3 linked regions of the Arabidopsis thaliana genome follow. The protein of the gene in region 2 interacts with the protein of the main gene of each other region in a pairwise test. Each region holds a gene or a part of one and is shown on either strand. Other genes may lie near its edges. The genes, in order: AT3G03330, AT1G15610 and FAO3.

Region 1 (8,172 bases), on a different chromosome or scaffold from region 2:
TTATCATCCAACGGCTCTGTATAACCTGCCAACAAAATAACATTCAAGTTCAAGATCTGCTTCATAACTCACTTTTCTAAAAGTCCATGACTTCAACAGTAATCTAAATTCCGAAATCCTCTCTATTATCAAGCTCAAATAAACATTTCTATAAATATCAAGAAAGGTTCAAAATTTACCAGTTTTGGGATTATAGAGAGACCAGAGGCTCTGCTTAAAGGCAAGGTTAGCTAGAAATATTCGGACCCAAACCCGAATTTCAGACTTTGAATTCTTCTTCTTAGAATGCAGAATAGAGCCTCCAATTCCAGATACTAGAAGCACCGGATCACGATCCGCCACCTCGCCGGCGTTTTCATCGTCGTTGGTTCCCCAGCACGGACACGGAATCCAGCCCATCAAAGCGGGTCAGGTTTCGGGTCCGAAATATTCAATTCGGATCTTTCTACAGAGTTCAGGAGAAAATGGTAAGTGGGACTTATCAGAGGTACATTAGTCAACAATGAGGATTTCTGAGAATATGCCATCTGTGACTGTGACTGTCTACACGCAAGCTTCACGTGCTCCTCACGTGTCACCTTCTAGATACCTGACTTATCGCTCTGATCTTCCGTCTTCAAACGACAACGTCTGATCTCTGATCTTCCGTTTTAAAACGACATCAAGGTGTTACTGTCCAATTTCAGATTGGGTTAGAACATCTTGTAATATCTACAAACTTGAGGGTGTTTTACACGAATATTTCTTAATTAAGAGGCTTAACGTTGGCGTTTTTGACGAAAATGGAGCAACCAATGTCGCCGGGAACGAAGTCGGTGGATCTCCGAGAATGCATGGAATCACTTCTCCGTTTTAGTCTGAGATCTCATTTAAACGAATCTGTTCCAAGTTTCGATCTTGACCTGACCAGAGATTTTTGTCTTCATCTCCTTGGGGAAGCTACAGATTCAACAGGTACGTTTTGCTAATTAGGAAGCAAATTATGAAACTTGAATGCTGGAGAGAAATAACTGAAATTTTCTCATAAATGTTTCAATTAACAGAAAAATCTGCGGTGTACAAGCTTCTAGCAACGGCTTTGTCTGAATGTCTAGCTTCCGAGGGTGATAAAAATTCTAACTTGGAAAAATACAGCAAACTGATTCATGGCTTGGGATATGACTTAATAAATGTAAGTCTATATGAAAACTTTAGTTCTCAACTATTATTGCATCAAAACAGAGTGGGAAAAGTTAGTTTTTGGAATTTTTACACAGAAAAGGTTCTTTGTTTCAGATGTTGAAGGAGGTGAACTTTGAGCTTCATGTCCAAGAGCCTTACTTCACCCAATTGAAAGGTACATTTTCTGGTTACTTGATTGTAGTATTACAATTATATTTGCTCAATCTCACTTTTATTTCCGGGTGCCTCTCAATTTGTCAGATGGTTTGAAAACTGTTGAAGGAAGATGCGCAGTGGGAGACTACATGAGGTCTGATGTTTTTATCTTTGTGCAAATGTTAATTCACATTCATCTCTTGTGCTTGCTTTTCCGGGTTTTCTGTTTTGCTGATTCCAATAGCTTTAGATTGTCTTATTGACTTCAAAATTGGTTTACTCACAGAATTAGTTCAGGAGATTTTCTTTTGTTCAATAAATGCTTGCTGCTTGAAGTTCAGGTAGTCATCAATCTTGTATCTCTGTCAATTCTTCCTTGTGAGGCAAACACTATACCTCTTGTTACTAACCATTTTGATGAGGGCAGGACGTTCACCGTTATACTTCATTCTCAGAAATGCTGAAAGTGGAGGGTCTTGCCAAAGTTCTTCCTGGAGTTGAAAGTATAGAAGAAGGTTTGAAGATCTTTACCATAACATAGAACGTTTGGAAAGCGTCTCTTTTGCTATGTGGACTTTGTTCTAACCTGAAATGATGTTCTATCTGCAGGTGTTCAAGTTTACCGAAACTTTTATTCTGAAGAGAAGGAAAGAATGAACGGTGTTGTAGCTATTCGTGTTGCAAAACCAGCTAATCAGCCTTCTGCAGCTTTGGCAGGAGTATTGTCTGTGAGTTTCTGGCAGCAAGTCAAACTCCAGAAGCTTTCGTTAGTCTTCAATGTATGCATCATATAGCTTTCTTTTCGGTTCTTCTTTTGTAGGAACTGAAGTCCAGTGGGATCAAAAGCCTGTTGGATGAATACACAGCTGGGGTTACCTCGTAGCTGCATCTGAAAACCTTTGTGCGCAGAGAAACTACTCAATTTGAAGGGTTTTGATTTCTCTACACTCGGATGATGTTAAATTTGTGTTTGTTTGTGTGTACGAGTAGCTAAATCACAGAAGATCACATCTTTTCTTACTTATTGAGCACCTCACAAGGCAACAAAACATTTTTCGACGCTTTGGTAGTTATTTAACAATCAAACTAGCAAACAAACACCAACCACATTTACGGACTAAGGCTCAACCAACCACATCTATGTGTATCTTCTAGAGAATCAGCTTCAGTTTGTTTTAGTCTTCTTCCCGAACAGTAAATCCCACGAGTATGTGTTGCCTTTCTTTTCCGCGACCTCCACACGCTTTCCTCCAACCTGCAAGCCGTTCATTTTAATCAAAAGACTGCTTTCAACAGAGTAATAACTGCCCCTGTTTTCTCTTTGTCAGATGTGTTTGTCACATTATAATGGAAACAAAACGACATCTCATACCGGTAACTTTTGAAGAAAATTAATGGATGAGCAAAGTACCTTGTCCATGAGCCAGAAGCCAAGGGAAGGCATGTACTGCACTAGATACATCACGAGTAGTACTGGCTGAAAAACAGTGAAAAAGAAACTTATATATCAGACATCTAAACCGAGTATCACATATGCAATATTTATAAAGATGTACCTGATATGAAATCCAAGCTTCCTTCAAGTTATGAGATGCAGCGATTATAGTCAGCTCTGCACATCGTTCAGATGACACACGTTTCTGCGTAGCAAAGAGAATAGATGCTTGAGAGAAATCAAGTTGAGCAAGGAGCTGAAGTTAGAATCTCCAAATGTTGACAAAGAATATGATTCTACGTGTATCTACAAGGAAATAATGAATCAAGCAATGGGAGAAGTACTTGCTGCTCACAACTTAATCAAATAATCACAATCATAATAAGTACCAACCTCAGGAGACTTGCTGTCTTCCGAAGTTGATGTTCCTGTACCATTCCAGGTTTCTATTGGACCAGGACAAACGACGGTAACCTTGATTCCCTTCTGACAGAACTGAAACCATGCACAGATGATTGTAAACTAACTGTTAGTTTTTGTAATTGATTGTGCTATTTTCAACAATAAAATGTAAATGAAAAAACATAGCGAATCAACATATGAAGCTTATTAAAACTCAGGAGTAGCTGTAAATTTTCACTTGTGATTTCAATAAGTCAATTTCTGCCAACTAATTAGCAAGCACAACAGTTTCTTTACTTCTAACATACCTCAGAACGCAAGCTGTGGAAGTAGCCATGAAGAGCATGTTTTGAAGCAGAATATATAGCCTGTCCAGGTGATGGTACCTTTCCTGCAGCACTGCTTATCTGAGCATAATTGACGTGAATTATTACTCATGACATTTAACCCAATAAAATGGACAATTAGTGCATGATCATAGCCTGAGTTCCATAACATTCAAGCTATGGTAAATACTAACCTGAACGAAACCTTAAATTGTCTATATACCCTAGTATCCTCAGATTTAACATATATAGTCAAGATTCAATACTGTGATTACAACAATTAACTAACATATAAAACGCAATGTTATCCACATATATAAACTATGATATGAAGCTCAATCCTTAAATATAATTCCACAAAATTAACAAAAACTATCCCCCAGTAGTCTCCACGTACCACAACAAAATGACCCCCTCCTTGTTTTAGCATATGAGGAGCTACCAACTTTGTCAGAGATATCGTCCCAAAGACATTAACATCGAATGTAGTCTGCACACAAAATCATAGATTAACCATATGTCAGAAAGAAATATCAAAATCACCCATGTCCTAATTGTTACAGGCTAACTATGGCAATAGAAACAAAAAATACCTTGAGAGTTTCCTCAAGAATTAATAATCTTGCCTACGAATTTTACGCAATTAATTTTAGTACCTTGAGAGTTTCCTCACTTGCATCCGATGCCTTGGATTTCTGCAAGGAAAAGAGTATGATGATGACACCCGCTTGAGTAAACATATCTAAAGCCTAAGACTCTCTATTGAGTAGATACAAAACTTTAGCAAGGAAATTACTTACCGGACGCTCAAAGGCAGCATTGTGAACCAAATAATCAACACCAGCTCCAGGGAAAAGCGACACTGCTTGCTCTACAACATGTTTGAGTGACTCTTCGCCGCTAGCTAAATCTAAAGGCAAAACCTTGACATCTTCTGGTGCAAATTTACCTAGAAGAAGAATACAGAGTCAGTTACATCACGTGTCAACAAAAAGCTCACAATTGTAAACTGGAGAGCTTTCTTTGATTCATTGTGTAAGAAAGTACCTTTAAGCTCACTCTTAACCCGATCCAGTTCAGCTTTATTCCTAGCAGAGAGAATAAGCTTGGCATCTAAACTTGCAAACTGTTTAGCAAGAATTTCACCTGAATCCAATCATAAACATGAAGAGTAAGCAGCCACAATAAAAGTTATCTCTTCACAGATATATAATCCTAAGAAAACATTCGTTACCAATTCCACGGCTAGCCCCTGTGATCCAGACGACCTGAGCAAAACCAAGAAATCTGAATTAATGCTCAGAGATTGAAATAATCGAAAACTCAAATCAATCCCACTAAATTCCATTTTTTCCTCTATCAATCCAGTACCTTGCCTTGTATGGCCTCACGCTTCACATGCTTCTTCGAAATCAAGGTAAAATCTCCTACACAAAGCAAAGATCAATCCTTTTATACATAAAAGAAGTTAAACATTGCATTAGAAATCGTCAGAGTTATTACCATCGGCGAATGCAAATTTGAAGAGCAGAACGATAAGAAGAAGCGCTCCGAGAGAGAAGAAGAGTAGAGTCAGCATTTTCTCGGATTGAAGCAACCAGCGAGAGACCAAGTCTTCTTACCCGTGGGCAAAATATGTTGACAGAAATAAATGTAGGAGTAGAACATAAATTATTAATATATAGGGACCTGTATGCAATTAATCTTATATACCAAAATCTTATTACATCCGAATGCCATTGTTCCTATCATTGTGTTGTCTTTCGATCAAAAAACCCCAAATCTCTGTTTGCAGAGAGGACGAGGAAAGAGAGAGAGAGAGAGAGAGAGAGAGAGAGAGAGAGAGAGAGAGAGAGAGAGAGAACGACTATGGACGCTATAAGGAAGCAGCTTGATGTGCTCATGGGAGCTAACCGAAACGGCGACGTTCAGGAGGTGAATCGCAAATACTACGACCGTGATGTGTGTCGTCTTTACTTGTCTGGTCTCTGCCCTCACGATCTCTTCCAATTGACGGTGCTTACCTTTATATTTTTTCAGTTTATTACTTAGTTGTCTCTTTGAATAAAAAAACCCTAATTTCACTTTTGAGCTAATCTTTTGTGTTTCTGCTTTAGCTCGAATTGATAACTGGTATTTGGTTACTTGATACAGTGTGCAGTTTTGTATCTTATAGAGTATATCTGAATTCTGAAACTTGTATCGCTTCACTGTTTTCTATGAGTATCTGTCTAGTAATTTAGTGCATGGCTACTTTGGTTTGCCTAATAACTGATGCTCCTTTTACATTTCTGTTGTTATCAGAAAATGGATATGGGACCATGCCCAAAGGTGCACTCTTTGCAGCTTCGGAAAGAGTATCCTTTGTTTACAGTAAGTTTAGTATTTACCTTATACGGTTACCATGAAGGCCGCCTACTTCCATGGCCTCTTTCAATTGAATTTGACATTTGAACATACTTACTAATTGGGTTGATATCTGTTTTTTGCTCATGTTTTTGCTCTTCTTCCTGGTTTTTGCTTGAGATAATACGTTAAATGAATGGATAGTGCATATAAGACTAGCCTATGCAGATTAGTTACAAAAAAAAGTTGGTGTCATTGTTATGTTTAGTTTGATTCTACAGTGGCATGTTGTTCTCTTTCCACTCCTGTGTTGCTTTAACTCGCCCTTAGATACCGAGAAGCAAGGGCAAAAGGTGTTGATAACTACGACAGGGAATTGGAAGATGCCATAGACAGGCTTATCGTTGAGTGTGATAGGAAGATTGGTAGGGCCCTTAAGCGTCTTCAAGAAGAGGACGCCAAAGCTGCCATTGCCATTTCTGTCTCTGAAGTCACTCAGGTGATTATTTGATTTTGAAATTTGGTTTATGTGTCTTCTAAGTTTGCAACACTCAGGTTTGTTTATCATCATTACATTGTTTAACTGCAGTCGCCTGAAATTCTCGAGTTATCGGAGAAAATCAAAGAGAAGATGAAGGAAGCAGATATCCACGGTAAAAATTAAAAGAATATTGCCCAGCAAATATTACTTTGCTGTTTCGGCTTTGTTTTTGCAAATAATTCTTGACTGGTTATTGGTAGTCTTTCAAAGTTCTGATGTCACTTTGCAGATCTTGAAGGCAAAATGGATCTTAAGATTAGAGCTCTTGAGTTAGTCGAAGAGATGAGGACCAAGAGAGCTGACCAACAGGTGAATTTGCTTTCGCTATTGGCTTAATGAGCATTTTTGCTTTTTTACTTTACCTATGTCAACTAGAAAGTCCTTTGTCTTGTTTTTTCATGTAGGCGGTGTTGCTGTTGGAAGCCTTCAACAAAGATAGAGCATCCTTGCCACAGCCCGTTCCAGCTCAACCACCATCTTCCGAATTACCTCCACCGGATCCTCGCACTCAAGAAATGATAAATGAGAAACTGAAGAAGGCAGAAGATCTTGGTAAGGGAAATAACCCTAATTTGTGTTTGGTTATTTGTCTATGGTCATCTTAATTTAGAGCTCATTGTAGTGGAAAGTTGAAACTGCTTAAATATCCACGGTCTAGTATTCCCTGCCGGCTGGGAATTTCTACTGGCTAATCTAAGATTTCCTAACCTATAAATTGCTTAAACTGTATATACCTAAGATAAGGAAATTTCTTCCCGTTGTATGTTACTATATCTATGTTAAGGAAACACTGGACTTCACGAAGTTTTATATAGATTGTATGGTTATTTGATATTTTAGGTGAACAAGGAATGGTTGATGAAGCCCAGAAAGCCCTGGAAGAGGCTGAAGCTCTTAAGAAGGTGTGTTCTCTTTCTTATTTCTTTTTCTTTTCCCCCTACTTTTATTAGTCACTAATAATTGTTGGGCCTAAATTTGTTTCAGCTTACAGTTAGACGAGAACCTCCAGCAGATTCAACGAAGTACACCGCTGTTGATGTGCGCATCGTAAGTTACCATCACTCCTCCCAATGATGCCTTAAAGATTCACATTCCTTCTATATTTATCAGTTTGTTTTGGAAAGTACCGTTGAATATAGGAATGACAACAGTCATATATTAACGTTTAGGTAAAGAGTAATAGTTTATTTGAGTAAACCCGTTTGATTGCTTTCATAAAAGTTACTATTTGGACCAAAAGTATAACATCTTCGCATCCCCTGTTTAATGTATCTACACATTGGTTTCATCTTCTAACCTCACTTATTGTTCCTATATCTTCTCAGACAGACCAAAAGTTGCGTCTATGTGACATATGTGGAGCATTCTTGAGCGTCTATGACAGGTTAAGTTCCTTGCTCAAACTTTCTGCATTATTGTTTCCCTTTTGGATTGAAAGAGAAAAAAGGTAGAAATAGTCTTTTGACTCCGGCTATTGTACCTCCTCCTTTCACCAGCAGGCTTTTTGGGCAGGATTACTTTTGCAGCTATAATAAATGTGCGTTCTTTTCTTGATTTTATTGTGCTTGAAGGATCTTACTAGTAGAGATTAACTAATGGAGTTTTTAACGTTATACTGTTTTAATATGCTATCGTCAAATGTTTAGCATTTGGCTATGCTAATTGGAACTTTTGTGATGCTACAGTGATCGCCGTTTAGCTGATCATTTTGGGGGGAAGCTTCATCTAGGATACATGCTAGTCCGGGACAAATTAACAGAGCTTCTGGTAAACTAATAACACAATCTACTTTATCTGATGATGGA
Region 2 (6,260 bases):
TTGGTTGTAACGTCGACGATGTGCTCTTCATTTGAAGAAGAATCGCCATGGATTGTAACGTCATCGACGATGTGCTCACTCTGAGTCAACAAAGGGTCCTCCATTTATCACTTCTGCTTTCTTCTATTTTCCCCAATCGAATTAAAAGTCCTTATTAATCCGCTTTAAAACACAGAGCACATAAAGCCATCTCCAGTTCTTTGGTGCTTAATTATTATTTTAAGACCAATCTACGTCGAGATCTATTCTATAAGTCAATTGTAATATTTCGAAGTCGTCGTTCGGTTCTAAATTATTACTCCAGATCGACATCATTCGTAATCCTAGGTCAAATATAATTCATATTCATTCGACGTTTAATTACAAAGCACATGTTGCGTTTAGTTCTTTCGTGCTAAGAAGTGTCTAAAAGTCGTTGTAAAATAAAATTAAAAAAAATGAACAGTCGAAAAGTCAATTGTATGAAATTAAATGCATAATCGAAACTTTCTATTAAATATAAAATTCATATTATGATAAAAAAAATATGTATTACAATTCTTTCTATTTTGTTGAAATCGATTATTTAAAAAATATCTTTAAAACTTCAATTTTCAGAATTCAAATAAAAGTGATCATTAAAACATTACAATTACCTTAAACAAATCGGATGCGAACGTAACTGAAATGATATCTCAATAATTGAACCATATCTTAATATTGCAAGACAACGAATCTGAAGTTGAGCATAAACAAACGGAAAGAAAATTGAACTAATAAAACCTCTATGGTATCAGGATTAAAATTTGTATCCTAACCGTAACCAATATCAGATCAAACCATTCATATATATATTATTTATTTTGTTTTAAAATAAAACAATATCATATCTATAATTTTGGTATAAGAATTAATAACAAATTCTTATACCCAAAAAAAAACATAAAAGCATAGATATGTCCGATTCGTTGGAGCTAAATTATTATCTCGAGACCAACTGACCAATTCCAATTCTACGTTAATTATAGTCATTTATAATAAAATGGTTATGATATTATTTGGTGCTAAATTAGTAGTTTTTTTTTTTTAAGTTATAGACTTAAAGTGAAACACAAAGCCTAGACGGAACCTTTTGTGCCATTTTAAGACCAATATACAGCATCATTAATCTTTTAAAAGTCAATTAAGTTAACTTCCACGTCGTTATGACAGCGACAGTTAATGGAAGGTAGCCAGAGAAGTCACTGAAGAAGAAGGTGGTTCTTCAAAATCGGATCATATTGATGAGATTAAATTGTTTGTTGTGCAGAGGTATTGGCGCACAAAGATCGAGTGTTAAATTGTTTAGTTGAATAAAAGTTCGCAACATTGCACTACATTTTGATGTGTGCTTTAATTTAAAGGCTACCTCTGCTCTGCATGCGACCATTCAAGTTTTCATGTATTATTCCACTCCATAATTGACCCCCAAGGCCCCAACTGATGCAAAAACACTAATATTTGGTTACGGCTGATTTCTTCAGTCATATATATGTGAAAAACCAATTAATGGTCTTCACACTCCCATATAGCAGGTTATCTATTAGTGCCCTTAACCGAACCCGATCGAGATTGATTGAAGTCATATCATCTCTATCAAGTAGTTATCATCTTCAGGTTCCTTGTGGGTTGTTTGATAGCATAAGAACATATATGTTATGGGTGCACTCTTAAAAAGAATTGTCGGGCGTGCCACATGCTGTCTCAACATGAAGCGCTTCATCAAGATGGCCAAAGAGGCCTTTTACAATAGACAAACCAGTTGTACATGTTGAAATGCAGATACTGAAATGTTTATCTTGCTGCAGAGATATTGGTACAGAGAAGCCTTTAGTTTCAGTTTTGCCGGCCATTTCAGGAATAGAGGATTCGGTAATGCTAATGACACTTGGCTTTATTTAATAAATAGAAAGAGAGTATTACAACAATTGTTGAAGAAAACAACATGATCCATCATTTTTATCCGCACATTCCAATGATCCACGAAAAGGTTAACGCAAAGAGTCCAATGATGACCAAAAAGAGTGAGAGTAACGAATTAATCATCGTTACTATGGCGGCCACAAGTGCAGTAACAAGGGACACCCCAGGCAACATGAATAACTGTACGGTAAATTGGAAATTAGGAAGCACATATCGAATGCAACTGAAAGCAAGTAGACCCAGCCATAACCTGGAAAAGGACATTTGTTAGTTCTAGAGAGGTAAATTATGTTGTTTAGCCATAATTGTAAATTTAGTTAGATGCGCACCAGAAGTGTCGACTAGTATCTTGACGTGATGATGACTCGGTTAGAATATGCCATAAAGACACCACAATCAAGGACACGAAGAAAGATTCAAGAAAATTTTCCAAACGGTACTCCATCACCTCGTTGCTGCAAATCAATAAAAACCATTGTTGAGGATATCAGTCTCTAATGCCTGAAAAAGAAAAAGAAACACAGTTTATACCTTGTCTCTGAGCTAGCGTTTTGGATATACTGCCATAAACGGCAACATACAAAAGGCAAAGTGGCAATAGAGGCACAAGTATAAAAGATGATCCATGTAAACAAAGCTACATCTAGTTCTGGATCTCGTTCATCTTTTGTTAGAATCAGAAAAAATATGGCTGCAACAATCTGGACCAAAGTCACAGCTAACTCGACCAAAATCCAGAAACTTCCACTTGTAAATGGACAACTCCATTGAAATGCCTCATGTGGAGTTTGCTCATGATCAGCTGATGACGAACCGCCATTGATTGTAATGTCGATGATGTGCTCATCATTTGAGGAAGAATCGCCATGGATTGTAACGTCTTCGACGTTGTGCTCACTCTTGGTTAACAAAGGGCCCTCCATTGATCACTTTTTTGCTTTCTTCTATTTTGTCCAATCGAATTAATAGTTCATCTAAACAAGCGTTGAAATACAAATTACATAAAGCCCTCTCCGATTCTTTGGTGCTAAATTATTATTCTAAGACCCAATCTACGTCAAGATCTATTCTATAAGTCAATTGTAAACTTCTAACGAACAAAAAAAAAGTTAGTCATTCTTCTCTAAATACGAATAATAGACATTTCCAGCTATATTATTATCTTAAGACCTAATCGACACCAATACCAATTCTAAGTCAATCACATAAAGTCCTTTACAATGAGTAGACTTTCGGAGCTACATTTGTTTTGTGTGTTTTTGTTTTACCTACACCAAGACCAATTATTAGTCAATTGTAGCCCGTTAGAGTAAAATTTCAAAATATTTGGTTCTAAATTATAGTCTTCCTAATTCTTTGGTGCTTGATGTATTATTTGGGAAGCTAGAAGAAGTAATATGTCTTTTTTGTAAAAGGAGAAATCTTTGGTGTTAAATTTTATTATTTGGGAAACTATAATATTTTATTATTTTTCTTAGTTATCTTATCTTTGGTGTTAAAGTTATCTATATATCCATTTCGATTTACCCAAATCTGTCAAAATAATAAGGCCTATAAAAGGTTATTCTGAAACACGTGATTATTTGGGTAAATGTCACAATGAGGTAGGACTCGACTCGAAATAAGTCAGATTTTAAAAAGCCCATTAAAGTACGGGCCCTTAAAATACATATCTGAATAGCGAAAACGCACGAATAAGAATGGTCAGTCAAAACTGTCATTTAATGGAGAATAATATTAACGAGGGAGAAAAATAAAATAAAAAGAGGAAATAAGACGAGATGATCATATTTGATCATTTCAAAAAACCTTAGCTACTGTTTTTCTCTACCTTAATAAGATTAAAATCATCAACATGAACACAAAACATTTTTATTCTGGTACTCTGCTTTACTTTGATTTTAAACGCCCATTCTCCTAGGCTTACAAACAAAATATTTTTATTAGTTCGATTTCAGCAGATGCATGATACAATGCATGCTACAATGCCTTTTAAGACTTCCACAGCAAGGAGAACACATATGACCACAGGCGTAAGTAAAAGCAAAGGAGTAGTATAACAGACCATTGCCAATGTTAGATTAAAAAGAACATATCTAATGCAACTGAAAGTAAGGAGAGCCAAACATAACCTGCAAAAGAGACAATGAAGAAGGCCAAAGGCATGAGTATAAGAAAGGTCAATATATACGTTTTAAGGTATACATATGATTGGAAATTTCGTTTGATACGCACCAGAAGTATTGAGTTGTAGTATCATCTAGAGCTGATGAGTCGAATGCTTTGGAAGAAAGAATCCATAAAAACACCACATACCAACCCACGAAGAAACCCGTCATAAAAAAGTCCATATCCTTGTTGATTCTGCAAACCAATAAAACCATTATATCTCAATCTAATGCATAAAAAGATAAAAGAAAACACAATTTATATATACCTTGTCTCTCTTAAGTATTCATCTGTAGATTCGGAGCCAACGCTTCGGTTATAAAGCCAAAAACGCCAACATAGGATAGGGAGAGTGGCAATACAGCCACATGTATAACCGATGATCCATATAGACAACATTGTTTGTGGATGTTCTTCATCTCTTGGCTCAATCAGAACGATTATGACCGCAGCAATCAAGACCAAAGTCACAACAAACTCGATTGAATTACAAATGCTTTCATTTGTGTATGGATCACCCAATTCAACACCCTCGTGTGGTTGCTGACCATCAATTGATGAAGAACTACCATCGCTTGTAATGTCAATGATGTGTTCACACTCGCTCAACAAAGGGCCCTCCATTGATCACTTTTGGTTTTTCCTATTTCTTGCCGATCAAATGAAAAGTTCATTCAAATTTGCGTTGACGAGCACAAAGCATATACCTTTCCTTCTTTGTTGATAAAATTATTAGTATTTTTTTAGACCAGATCAATACTAAGTACGTATTAGTCGTGTTACAAATAAAACATTATTTTGAAAAATGAAGATCAAAGCTGAGATTTCAATGTTTATATATATTGCAGATGTTTTGGACAAGTTAAATTGTTAATAGGTCAAATGATCTGTATGATATTTATTTTCTGTTTTAAGACAGACAACACAAGAAGACAGGATCGTATCTTTCAGTTTCCCACCACTTTTGTTTATTGAATGTGTACAATTACTCTTGAGCGAAAAAAAAATAAAAAAAAAATCAACCTCATCTCATCACCACCTAACTTGTGATTGACAGAGAGGGCATGTGGATTTGATTTTCAGCCATTTGTCTATACATTGCGAATGAAATACGTGTGAGCATTCAAGTTTCCTTAGTCCTACTCCTTTTTCCTCTCCATATTTCCCCAAGCATATGCAACAACTCTGCACACACCATCAAACCATGAAAATTAAACAACAACAACAACAAAAAAATGCTATTTAAAACAGAGTAATTAATGTGATATGAAATTATTACTCACATCATCATGGCTCGGTTTCTTGAAAACAAATCTACCTCCTATACCTTCCCTTACAGAATCTACATCATTTGATTTCAACTTATCCACATCATAGATATGAGAAAAAAATGTTCCAAACTCTAGTGAACATTAAGCGAAAAAAATACCTGCGCATAATAGTAATGCATATGCAAATCTAATGCAACTGAAAGCAATGAAGACTACACATAACCTGCCAAAACATAATCAAGAAGACAAAAGTTAGTACTGATTAGTTAGGGTTTAACTAAATCTCTACTGTGACATGATTGTGAGTCAAACCTGTAGAGCTTAGGAGTATCAGAAGAAGATGAGTGTCCATAACAAATCCATAGAATCCCCATAACTAACCACACAACAAAGAAACATTCATTCCCCATCTTCAAAGCATCCATTACCCTATCCGTTCTGCCACCAACAACGGTTCGGTTTGATTTAGCTAATTAAACTCTTAATGTTAAGTGAAACAAGTGTTGTTTATTATACCTCGTTTTTGAGTAAACACCAATTCGGTTGTATTTGCGGACACACGAGAGGAGAATAAGGAGCGTAATGGTAATACAGCCACAAGTGTAACCGATGACCCATGTTAACAAAAGTGCTTGTTGATGTTCATCTTTTGCCAGAGTTAAAACTATTAATGATGCAACAATCTGAACCAAAGTGACTACTAATTCCATTATATTCCAAAGACTACCACAGTCTCTCGTAGATGAACTTGCACCTTCATCTGACGATTCGTCATCCGTAGACAGAGACGAACTTAATGAAGGATAGCTTCTCTCGTCCAAAGACGATCTTGATGAAGAATCTTCATCGTTTGTAATGTCGATTATGTGATCATCATTA
Region 3 (8,675 bases), on a different chromosome or scaffold from region 2:
TCTCTCAAAGGAAATACATATTGGCTTGCTGAAGAGGCATATTCAGAAATCCCAAGACAAGGAGACCATAGTTTCTTACTCTGTTTTGATTTCACAAGGGAGACATTTGGGCCGCGGTTTGCCTTCGCCGCCCTTTGAGTGGTATCTTCAAGAGTTCTCTGTTATTATCTAATGTTAGAGATGAGCAGCTTGCGGTGTTATTTCAGCGTATGGATACATTACAGATGGAGATCTGGGTTACAACTAAGATTGAGCCCAACACGGTGTCATGGAGCAGCAAGTTCTTCTTATCAGTGGATATGAGAGAACTCACCGGCCGTTACTCTATGTTTTCGTTTAGTGATGCAAGTTTCTTCATTGATGAGGAGAAGAAAGTTGCAGTGGTTTTTGATAAAGGCAAAAAGAAGTAGTTGATGTGCAATGCAGCTTACATCGTTGGAGAGGATGGATCCTTGAAGAAGTGGATCTTGGAGAATCTCCAAACCAAAATCTCCGACCACTTGTGTGCTCTTATGTTCCAAGTTCACTGCAACTTGATTAGTCCAATATTTTATAACACTCTAATTAGATGAATAAATATAACGTTTCCAAAACATGGATTTTATTAGTAGACATGATCAATAGAAGAGTCTTTAACTATGAATTATCATGTTGGTTACACATAAATTTGATTAGGATGAATAGAAAGTATACGTTATTTTAGTTCAATGAGATAAACCAGTGGTCATGGACTTAGCGATTCTTGTGGAGATACAATAAGCCGTAGACATGACTGTGATCATAGGGTTAACACCAACAGCACTAGGCAACGCACTTGCATCGCACACAAACAACTTCTCTGCTTCCCAACTCTCTCCATTCAAATCTATTGCACCTTCTTTTTCATTTTCTCCAATTCTACAGCTTCCCATCTGATGAGCTGAGCTATAAACGTTCCATTTCTCAGTCATTCCCTTTGCTCCTTCCTCTGTACTCACCGAGTCTAAAAACTCTTGGATCGAATTCTCATTGACACCTTTGCATATTAGTCTCTGCCCGTCGCTTCTGTGAGTTCCCACTTCCTCTGCTCCAGCTGCTATTAGTATCCTTAGCGACTCTCTAAGCCCAGCTTTGAGATTATCTCTGTCGGTTTTGTCCACGGTGTAGTTTATTCTGCCTTCGGTTTTAACTTCTCCTGACCCGCGGTCTCTAACTATGGTTATGAGACTCGCGGTTCTTGAGTATCTAGCCATTCTTTTCTTCATGTCAAGCCCAGAGGTCCAAGGAGTTAAAACGGAGAACGAACCTGGTCCTAGTTGCGGTGTCTCTATGATTGCTCTGACTTCAGAATCTTCTGATAACACTTTGCTCACTGATGTTATGATCCCGCCTTCATATGAATTTCCCTTGAAACTGATGTTAGAAGATTCCTTGTCCGGGAAGTAACCCCACGCCATTAAAACAGGGTGTAAGTGAAGGTTTTTACCGATGTTTCGGTTTCTCAACCCGCTAGATATCATCAACGGAGGTGTTAAAAGAGCACCCCCTGCTGAAACCGTTACTTTAGCTTCAATCTTTAACATCTTTGCTATGTTTCCGTTTAAAGATTTAGCCATCACTCCCAAACATTTCATTTGCTTGCCTCCTTTGTTACTACCGTTCTTTTCGAGTATGAATCTCTCCGCTTTACATCCAGTAAGAATCACGGCACCGTGCCCCACCGCATCGACAAGCCAAGTCCGGTCACTTCCTTTCTTGTCTCCTTGTCTACATCCATACCCGCAAGATCCACAGTAATGACTCTCCGAGGAGTTTCTTGGCACGTTTTCAACATTGAACCCGAGATTTTCGCAACCTTTTCTCAGAATCTGATTCTGAAAACTCTCCAGTTCACATTTCTCCGTGACACCCATCCTCTTCCACACAACTTCCATAGCCGTTAGATATTCTTTAGTACCGAAAAGAGGTATATTTTGATCCTCTGACCATTCTTGAAGAACCGACTTCGGGGTTTTGATACACGCAGACCAGTTCACAGCAGATCCACCACCTACAGTTGCTCCAGCCAACACCATAAAACTCCCATCAACACTCGGGAGAATCCCTCCATTCTCGTAGAGTTTATCCAAGCCAGGACCTTCGAAAGGACGATGTTCAGAAGGCGTAAAGTAGCTTCCTTTTTCAAGAACAACCACTTTTAAACCAGATTTCGCTAGAACAGAAGCTGCTACGCCTCCTCCTGAACCAGACCCGACGACCACAACATCACATTTTATTCTGATCGCATCATGCTCCGTGTCAAGAACCGCTTCTAGGCCTTTATGAGCAAGTGATTCAAGAAGAGTCTGCTCTGTTTCTTCCATCGTCTCCACTATCCCTTTCTCAAGTGGTCTTTCGTTATGAGTTTCAGAAGGTTTGTTCTCATCGGGGTTAACACGATACCCTATGGCTTCCCATGCCGGGTTTTCGCCATTTGGATTCACCTACACAAAAGAAACGACATATCCATAAATTCTTGAACATTTTCTATAAGTAGCTCTGTTTTTACGACAGAGTTAACATATATAATATAGGCTCTGAATCCGGATTTTGGTTTAGTTCACGATTCTCAAAATTTTGGATCGGTTTATTGTAACCAAATCAGAAAATGATCTAGTTAAATCGCTTGGTACTCATTTAAGATCAAAGTTTTTAATAATGGGATCAAATTGTTTATGTATAGTAAAATAGTAAATTTTAGTTATAAACAAATCTCATATGAATACGTTACGTACGGTTTCAGGTTTAAGATTTTCTAATTTTAGTATATATGAATTTGGATGATTTTTTCCTTAGAGATCATCATTAATTTAGAAAACAATAAAACTGATACGTTTTCTAGTTTTTTTTGGCTCTATTTGTAATCAATTTTTGGATTATATAGAAAGTAAATGAATTTAAACCATGCGATTCTGTTTTCGATTATTTGGATTTGTACTAGACTGTTTTATCCGGACAGAACAACATAATCTATGTGGTTGAGATAAGGTTTGGAGAAAACAGAGAGAATTTGAGACATACCCGGGAGAAGAAACAGAAGAGGAATGCAACTTTGATGTAGACAAAAGCAGCTCTAATTGGAGTCAGAATCCAATTCTTGAATTGTTTCTGAAGTACTCTTTCTCTCTTCTCCAACGAGAGCTCACTAAATTTCTCGACAAAAGGCCATCTTGAGACCAAACACTCGGTTCCACAAATGAGAAGCGTCCCAAGCCGAGTAGCAAGCAAGAACAATATAAGCCTAGTAGCAATATAAGCTTCTATTGTCCCTCGTTTCGTGACCAGCTCAATGCTCTGCATCCATTAACAAATCTTTCACTTTTTACTCAAAACCTTAAGGTCTTTTTAATAACCGCAATTAATTTTAGACCGAAACCTAGACTAATAATATTCACGTTAAAAAAACAAAAAGAGCTAGATATTTTTGTCATTTAAAAGGTCTATAGAAGTCAAAAGAGAACCACAAGGATTTTATTGGAACTCGATCAATACGAATCCTTTTAACTAATCGAACAAATCAAAACAAATCTTCAAATATCACACGTTCTTGATTTGTGTTTTTTTGTTTGAAAGTGTCAAAACTTTAGCATTTTGTTAAAAAAACAGATCATTTGATGAATATAAAGAAAAAGTGTGTGAACCTGGCGAAGGACAGGAGTTTTAGACCCAGAAGTTGAGTAAAATGACCGGAGAGCCTCTTTGTTCCGATGGTTATCACCTTCACCGGAAAGCTCTTCCGGCGGTGGCTGCACTGAAGGCAAGACAGCTTCACAAAAGCTAGCTAAAGATTCCATCTCTGCCACCGTGATGTCCGGGAGACCAAATTTTCCGGCGACTTTGTACTTATCCATCACACAGTTTGCTTTGATATGATTAAAAAACAAAACTGGGAAAGTTCTTAAGATTTCGAAGCACAAACTCTGTTAGTATATATATAGACACAACGTTACAGCTGTCGCGTTACATAAAAATAGACATATAAAACAAAATTGCTAAGAGAACCCCAAAACTTGTTTTTAACTCTTTTTGATGATTACGTATTTTTATCTGTCGTTTTAGATAGTAGATGTATGTATTTTTCTAGTTTATACGACAGTTTGTCGTATTACTAATTATGATGATAATTGACAATTTAAATGTATATGAAAAAGTTGGACCAAAATTGATTTTTCTTTTTTGTTGTTGTAAATGGTGCATATCTACCCACGTTGTTGTTTCTTTCAAATTCTACTTATATGCCGAATTTTATTGGTATCATCTGATGTAGATTGAATATATTTCTTACGTACAATTTAAGATGATGGTTATTTTTTAGGGTCCTCATGTTTAGAGTCTCTAAGATAGTGGTTAAAAACACTTAAAATTGCAAAATATAGGGACTAGTATGTAGTTAGCAGAGACTATTATGGGGAAAGTCTTTTTCAGTTTTCTAGATTACAACATGTGAAAACTACAGGCAACGAAAATCGATTAGTAATTAATAATTAAGTAATGATTGAAGAAACATAACAAAGGCACAAAAGAAGAAAATAGTCAGAAAAGTTCTCATAGTTATGGAAAACAATCACGTGTGATACTCTTTCTTTTTTTTTTTTTTTTTTTGTTTGACAACTGCGATGCTCTAAACACCACAATTTGAAACTTGTGATAGCCAACTTGTGAGTTAATGCACAAGCCCCGTAACGTTTTACACAATCTAGCTTTTCTTATTCGATATACGTGTACTTGATATCTTCTCACAAAAATTTGTAAATATTATATGAAGAAATTAATACACATTAATATGTATATACAACATCTGATCGGTTATCACGTATATATCAAAACATATTATATCTTTGGAGAGGTCATGCTTGGACCATTAGACAAAGTCTTATTTGGTTTACGAGTTTTTTAGTTTGTTAATTATAATGTAAAGTATATGAAGTTGTAAAATTTACTCTAAAACAAATCTAGGGACTCGTCAATTAGGTGAAATTCATGGGATCGTCAATTAATATTTACTCAAATTAGTCATAAATGTTGCTTAGCTGCAACGAAATTGATTACAAACTTTTTTGCAGTGATTTTTTAGGTGCTTCACTGGTTAGCAACCATGTGCTAGTGATCATCCATAAAAATTATCTCATTTACTCATCCAGTATTTCATGAATTCTCAAAAATACTAATTATTGATTGTTGACCAAAAAAAACCCATATATTGATTACAAACCAAACGATCCCAGGCCGTTTTGAATTTGCTAGAAAAATAAATACATATATACACTATATGCTTAAAATTTCAATGGACAATGCGTTGCCTCATTTAAGATTCGAAGAAACTAGCATTATCAAGGAAAATGTTGAGTGACTTCCAGATAATTTGTTAAATTTAGTTGACATCGATTAGACAAAGAATCGATAAATTACGTATTGATTCAAATTTCATATTATAGACATCCACAAAAAAATAATATAATTAGTCTGGCCCTACTTTTGATTTTGCAACAAATTTGTGGGAATCAGTGGAGCCAATCAGTTGCCTCCACGTCATCGTTTGCACGCCATGTTAGCCAAAATGTGGTCATGCATCCCATCTAACAAGTCAGGTGTAATCGAAGCATCCGAGATCTCGTCAGACAAAAAAAACTCTAAAACGATAACTAGTTTTTAGTGTAATCTAAGTTAAAGTATGATTATTTACTAATATATATTCTGATCCCAAAGGTTTGGTTAGAAAATTTCCTCAGCATGGGTTATCGGTACATATATAATTGCTTGGTGATAATGATATGTTTCAGCTTAACCAAATAAAAAATGCAAAATAATAAATAAATTTTACCGTGGTGGATGAGCTAATTAGAGTGTACGAGGTACATATATAGTGCGTTGTTTTGCAAAAATAATAATATTAAAAAGTTCACAAAATATTTTTTAGTCATAAGTTACTTTTTCACACTTATTTATAACTTAGAAATAAAAAATCACTTCTCTGAACACTTATTTATAACTTCTCTGAACACATGTTATGTTCAAATGTTAAGACTATTTTCCGTTAGGTGATATCGTAATTTTATGACTACAATATTTCAAGTTATATGGACCATAGCATTCCATTTCTATGATTGAGGTACACTTTGTGATTATTATTTATCGACCAAATATTTTCAATGGCTCCAAAGCTTAATTATATATTAGTTGTAGACAAAAACAAATCTCTAAAACACTGTCAAAATGACGTGTTTGCGTAAAATCCATAAAACATTTTCAAGCTAGCCGAGGCATCAGCAACAAAATCTTCTTAAAACCTTCATGGCTTGTAAAATATTCAATCGGGTACAGTGGGTTGTTTAGTTGAATTATTATGTGTCACTGTGTAAGTATAGCTTCTAAAAATAAAATGTCATTATAGCTTATTGTTTAAAAGTCAAAAAAAATGTTGTTGGACGCAATTAAAGATGTCACAAGTTGTCATTAATTAATTAAGCGATAATGTAAAGTAAAATAGCGATAACAGGTTATATACGGCATTTTCAAGATAACCCCACTTTGTAGACCTTTTCCGTTCATGTTACTTTCTGCCCAGTTAAAATCTTGTGTTAAAAAGTCATAATACCATATTTCCTTTAGTTAAGTAAACTATACGCGGATACTAAAAACTACCGATATTTTATGCGTAAGTTATCTTTATTATCATGTTTTTGTTATATAAACAATTTTGCTACAAAAAGTTCATTTCGCCTTTATTAGATTCACGAGAGACGGCATTTCTTTCGTTTTTTTTATGCTTTTGATGGAGAATTTCAATGATGGCTATAATTATATATCGTTGAAGATTTCTTATACACTTGTCTCCATAAATCTGCAAATCTGATAATAAATTGTAGTATCTGAGACTCGAACCAAAGACCTCTTTATGTATAATCATTAATGAATTTTTGGTTAACCAATAAAGTGATAAACTAGGGGTTTTCAATATCTTTATTATCATATTTATTATTAAATTACTATATAACTTCATGTAATCGTGGGACACTGCAACAAATACTAAATAATTAGAAAAATTAACAACCAACATCTAGTTAGAATATTTAATTTGCACCAATGTCTTCGAGTATAGTGAAAAAAATAGAAGATCGAATATCGAATAGTACGTATAGAATCATCTAGATCCATTCGAACTAACGTCTACTTTTCTTTTCCAGCATTAACATGTAGCTTGTCATTAGCATTTACATGTTGCAAATAACACAAATTGGGAAATTGAAAGACTAAAAAACCTTGTACAGCAGATGGTTTAACACGTGGATTCATGGACACAAACAGAAAACGGCAGAACTAAGCACAAAAACGTCAACTAAGCATATCAAAGCTTTTAATGCAAGCCTAATATAAACACAAGTGGTTATCCATAATCTGTTCTTAATCTCTTGCAGTAGTTATCTTTTCATTATTCGCAATTCGCAATTCTATATTCTTATATTTCAACTTGTTCTTCTTCCAAATTGTAATTATATCTACATCGTCTTAGCTTGACCATTATAGCTCCAGTACCAAGTTCTCTTCTTAACTTTAATATCAGCTACTATTCTCATACTGTAAATATCTTTTGTTCACCAAACATATATTTCGAACCAAACTGCTAAAAGCTTATCATAAATTGCAGTTCTAGCCACACAATTTTGCAGTTCCAACCATTAAATGCCACAAAATTTGGACGATTTCTTAAGACAAGAAGAACATAGCAACCAAACCTTATTGATTAAATATGAAATGTCTCCATAAAACTGGGAGATTTCCCCAAATAAAGAGAACACGGCAAATGTTCACGTAATCTCCAAGATGAATGTTTAATTTTTTCTTTCAGAAAAAAACAAAAAAACTTAACTCAATATAGACAACTAGAATGGATACCAACTAAGCAAAAGAAATTCAAAAGACAAATATATATTGGATATGAAGTTACATTATTTTCAAACTTTATATACTACTAAAAGCCTAAAAATTTGTTCTAAAATGATATCCAAATAAATGGAAGGCATGAATGTCATATGACTAAAAGAGAAAAACACACCTGTATATAAGTATTGGATCATGCTGCCTCCGAGTGACAAAACATACGATGTGGGTCTTTATTGGGCCATACTTAAATGGAAAAAGGAGAAAAAAAATTGGGCAATGTCTATGGTCGAAATTTATATGTTTTACATCAATAAAATCAATATTTAATTTTATATATGTGGGTCTTAATCTAGTATTATCTACATAGATTAAAATCAAAGTACTGCATATGGTCCATAATAATACAACCAAAGCAAATTAAAATTTTGTGGCACAAAACGACATCATTTTACTCAGAAAGTAATATGCAATTTCGTTTACGCACACACGTATACGCGCTAATAACCCGTGGTGCTTCTCAAATCACATAATAATTAAAGTCTTCTTCTTCTTCTTCTTCTCTACAAATTATCTCACTCTCTTCGTTTTTTTTTCCTTCTCAACAATGGCGACTTCTTCTACTTTCTCGTCACTACTACCTTCACCACCAGCTCTTCTTTCCGACCACCGTTCTCCTCCACCATCCATCAGATACTCCTTTTCTCCCTTAACTACTCCAAAATCGTCTCGTTTGGGTTTCACTGTACCGGAGAAGAGAAACCTCGCTGCTAATTCGT

What was found.
Region 1: the proteins of AT1G15610 (region 2) and AT3G03330 interact in a protein complementation assay, tested with the Arabidopsis thaliana proteins (one large-scale study listed by BioGRID).
Region 3: the proteins of AT1G15610 (region 2) and FAO3 interact in a protein complementation assay, tested with the Arabidopsis thaliana proteins (one large-scale study listed by BioGRID).

The regions. Positions count from the first base shown.
Region 1 is NC_003074.8:781,090-789,261, forward strand, and holds AT3G03330 (NAD(P)-binding Rossmann-fold superfamily protein), read right to left. Parts: upstream 5,116-8,172; 5' UTR 5,060-5,115; coding exon 4,984-5,059; intron 4,908-4,983; coding exon 4,852-4,907; intron 4,749-4,851; coding exon 4,715-4,748; intron 4,627-4,714; coding exon 4,528-4,626; intron 4,430-4,527; coding exon 4,281-4,429; intron 4,176-4,280; coding exon 4,137-4,175; intron 3,971-4,136; coding exon 3,878-3,970; intron 3,562-3,877; coding exon 3,463-3,561; intron 3,248-3,462; coding exon 3,146-3,247; intron 2,958-3,145; coding exon 2,874-2,957; intron 2,795-2,873; coding exon 2,729-2,794; intron 2,573-2,728; coding exon 2,483-2,572; 3' UTR 2,243-2,482; downstream 1-2,242. Other genes in the region: LCAT3 (lecithin:cholesterol acyltransferase 3), read right to left, coding at 1-25, 180-399; AT3G03320 (RNA-binding ASCH domain protein), read left to right, coding at 783-954, 1,044-1,171, 1,276-1,336, 1,423-1,471, 1,604-1,658, 1,745-1,832, 1,927-2,045, 2,138-2,200; UNE6 (LUC7 related protein), read left to right, coding at 5,116-5,496, 5,785-5,837, 6,157-6,325, 6,416-6,479, 6,597-6,676, 6,772-6,919, 7,208-7,269, 7,352-7,414 and 2 more.
Region 2 is NC_003070.9:5,367,397-5,373,656, reverse strand, and holds AT1G15610 (uncharacterized protein), read right to left. Parts: upstream 2,901-6,260; 5' UTR 2,865-2,900; coding exon 2,473-2,864; intron 2,397-2,472; coding exon 2,271-2,396; intron 2,192-2,270; coding exon 1,978-2,191; downstream 1-1,977. Other genes in the region: AT1G15620 (uncharacterized protein), read right to left, coding at 1-104; AT1G15600 (uncharacterized protein), read right to left, coding at 3,896-4,073, 4,177-4,305, 4,379-4,734; AT1G15590 (E3 ubiquitin-protein ligase), read right to left, coding at 5,425-5,452, 5,694-5,819, 5,898-6,260.
Region 3 is NC_003074.8:8,378,054-8,386,728, reverse strand, and holds FAO3 (fatty alcohol oxidase 3), read right to left. Parts: upstream 4,058-8,675; 5' UTR 3,870-4,057; coding exon 3,660-3,869; intron 3,399-3,659; exon of another isoform or gene 3,319-3,398; coding exon of another isoform or gene 3,313-3,318; coding exon 3,040-3,312; intron 2,463-3,039; coding exon 705-2,462; 3' UTR 548-704; downstream 1-547. Other genes in the region: AT3G23420 (F-box and associated interaction domains-containing protein), read left to right, coding at 99-383, 427-456; FIB4 (Plastid-lipid associated protein PAP / fibrillin family protein), read left to right, coding at 8,504-8,675. UniProt on the Arabidopsis thaliana protein: Long-chain fatty alcohol oxidase involved in the omega-oxidation pathway of lipid degradation.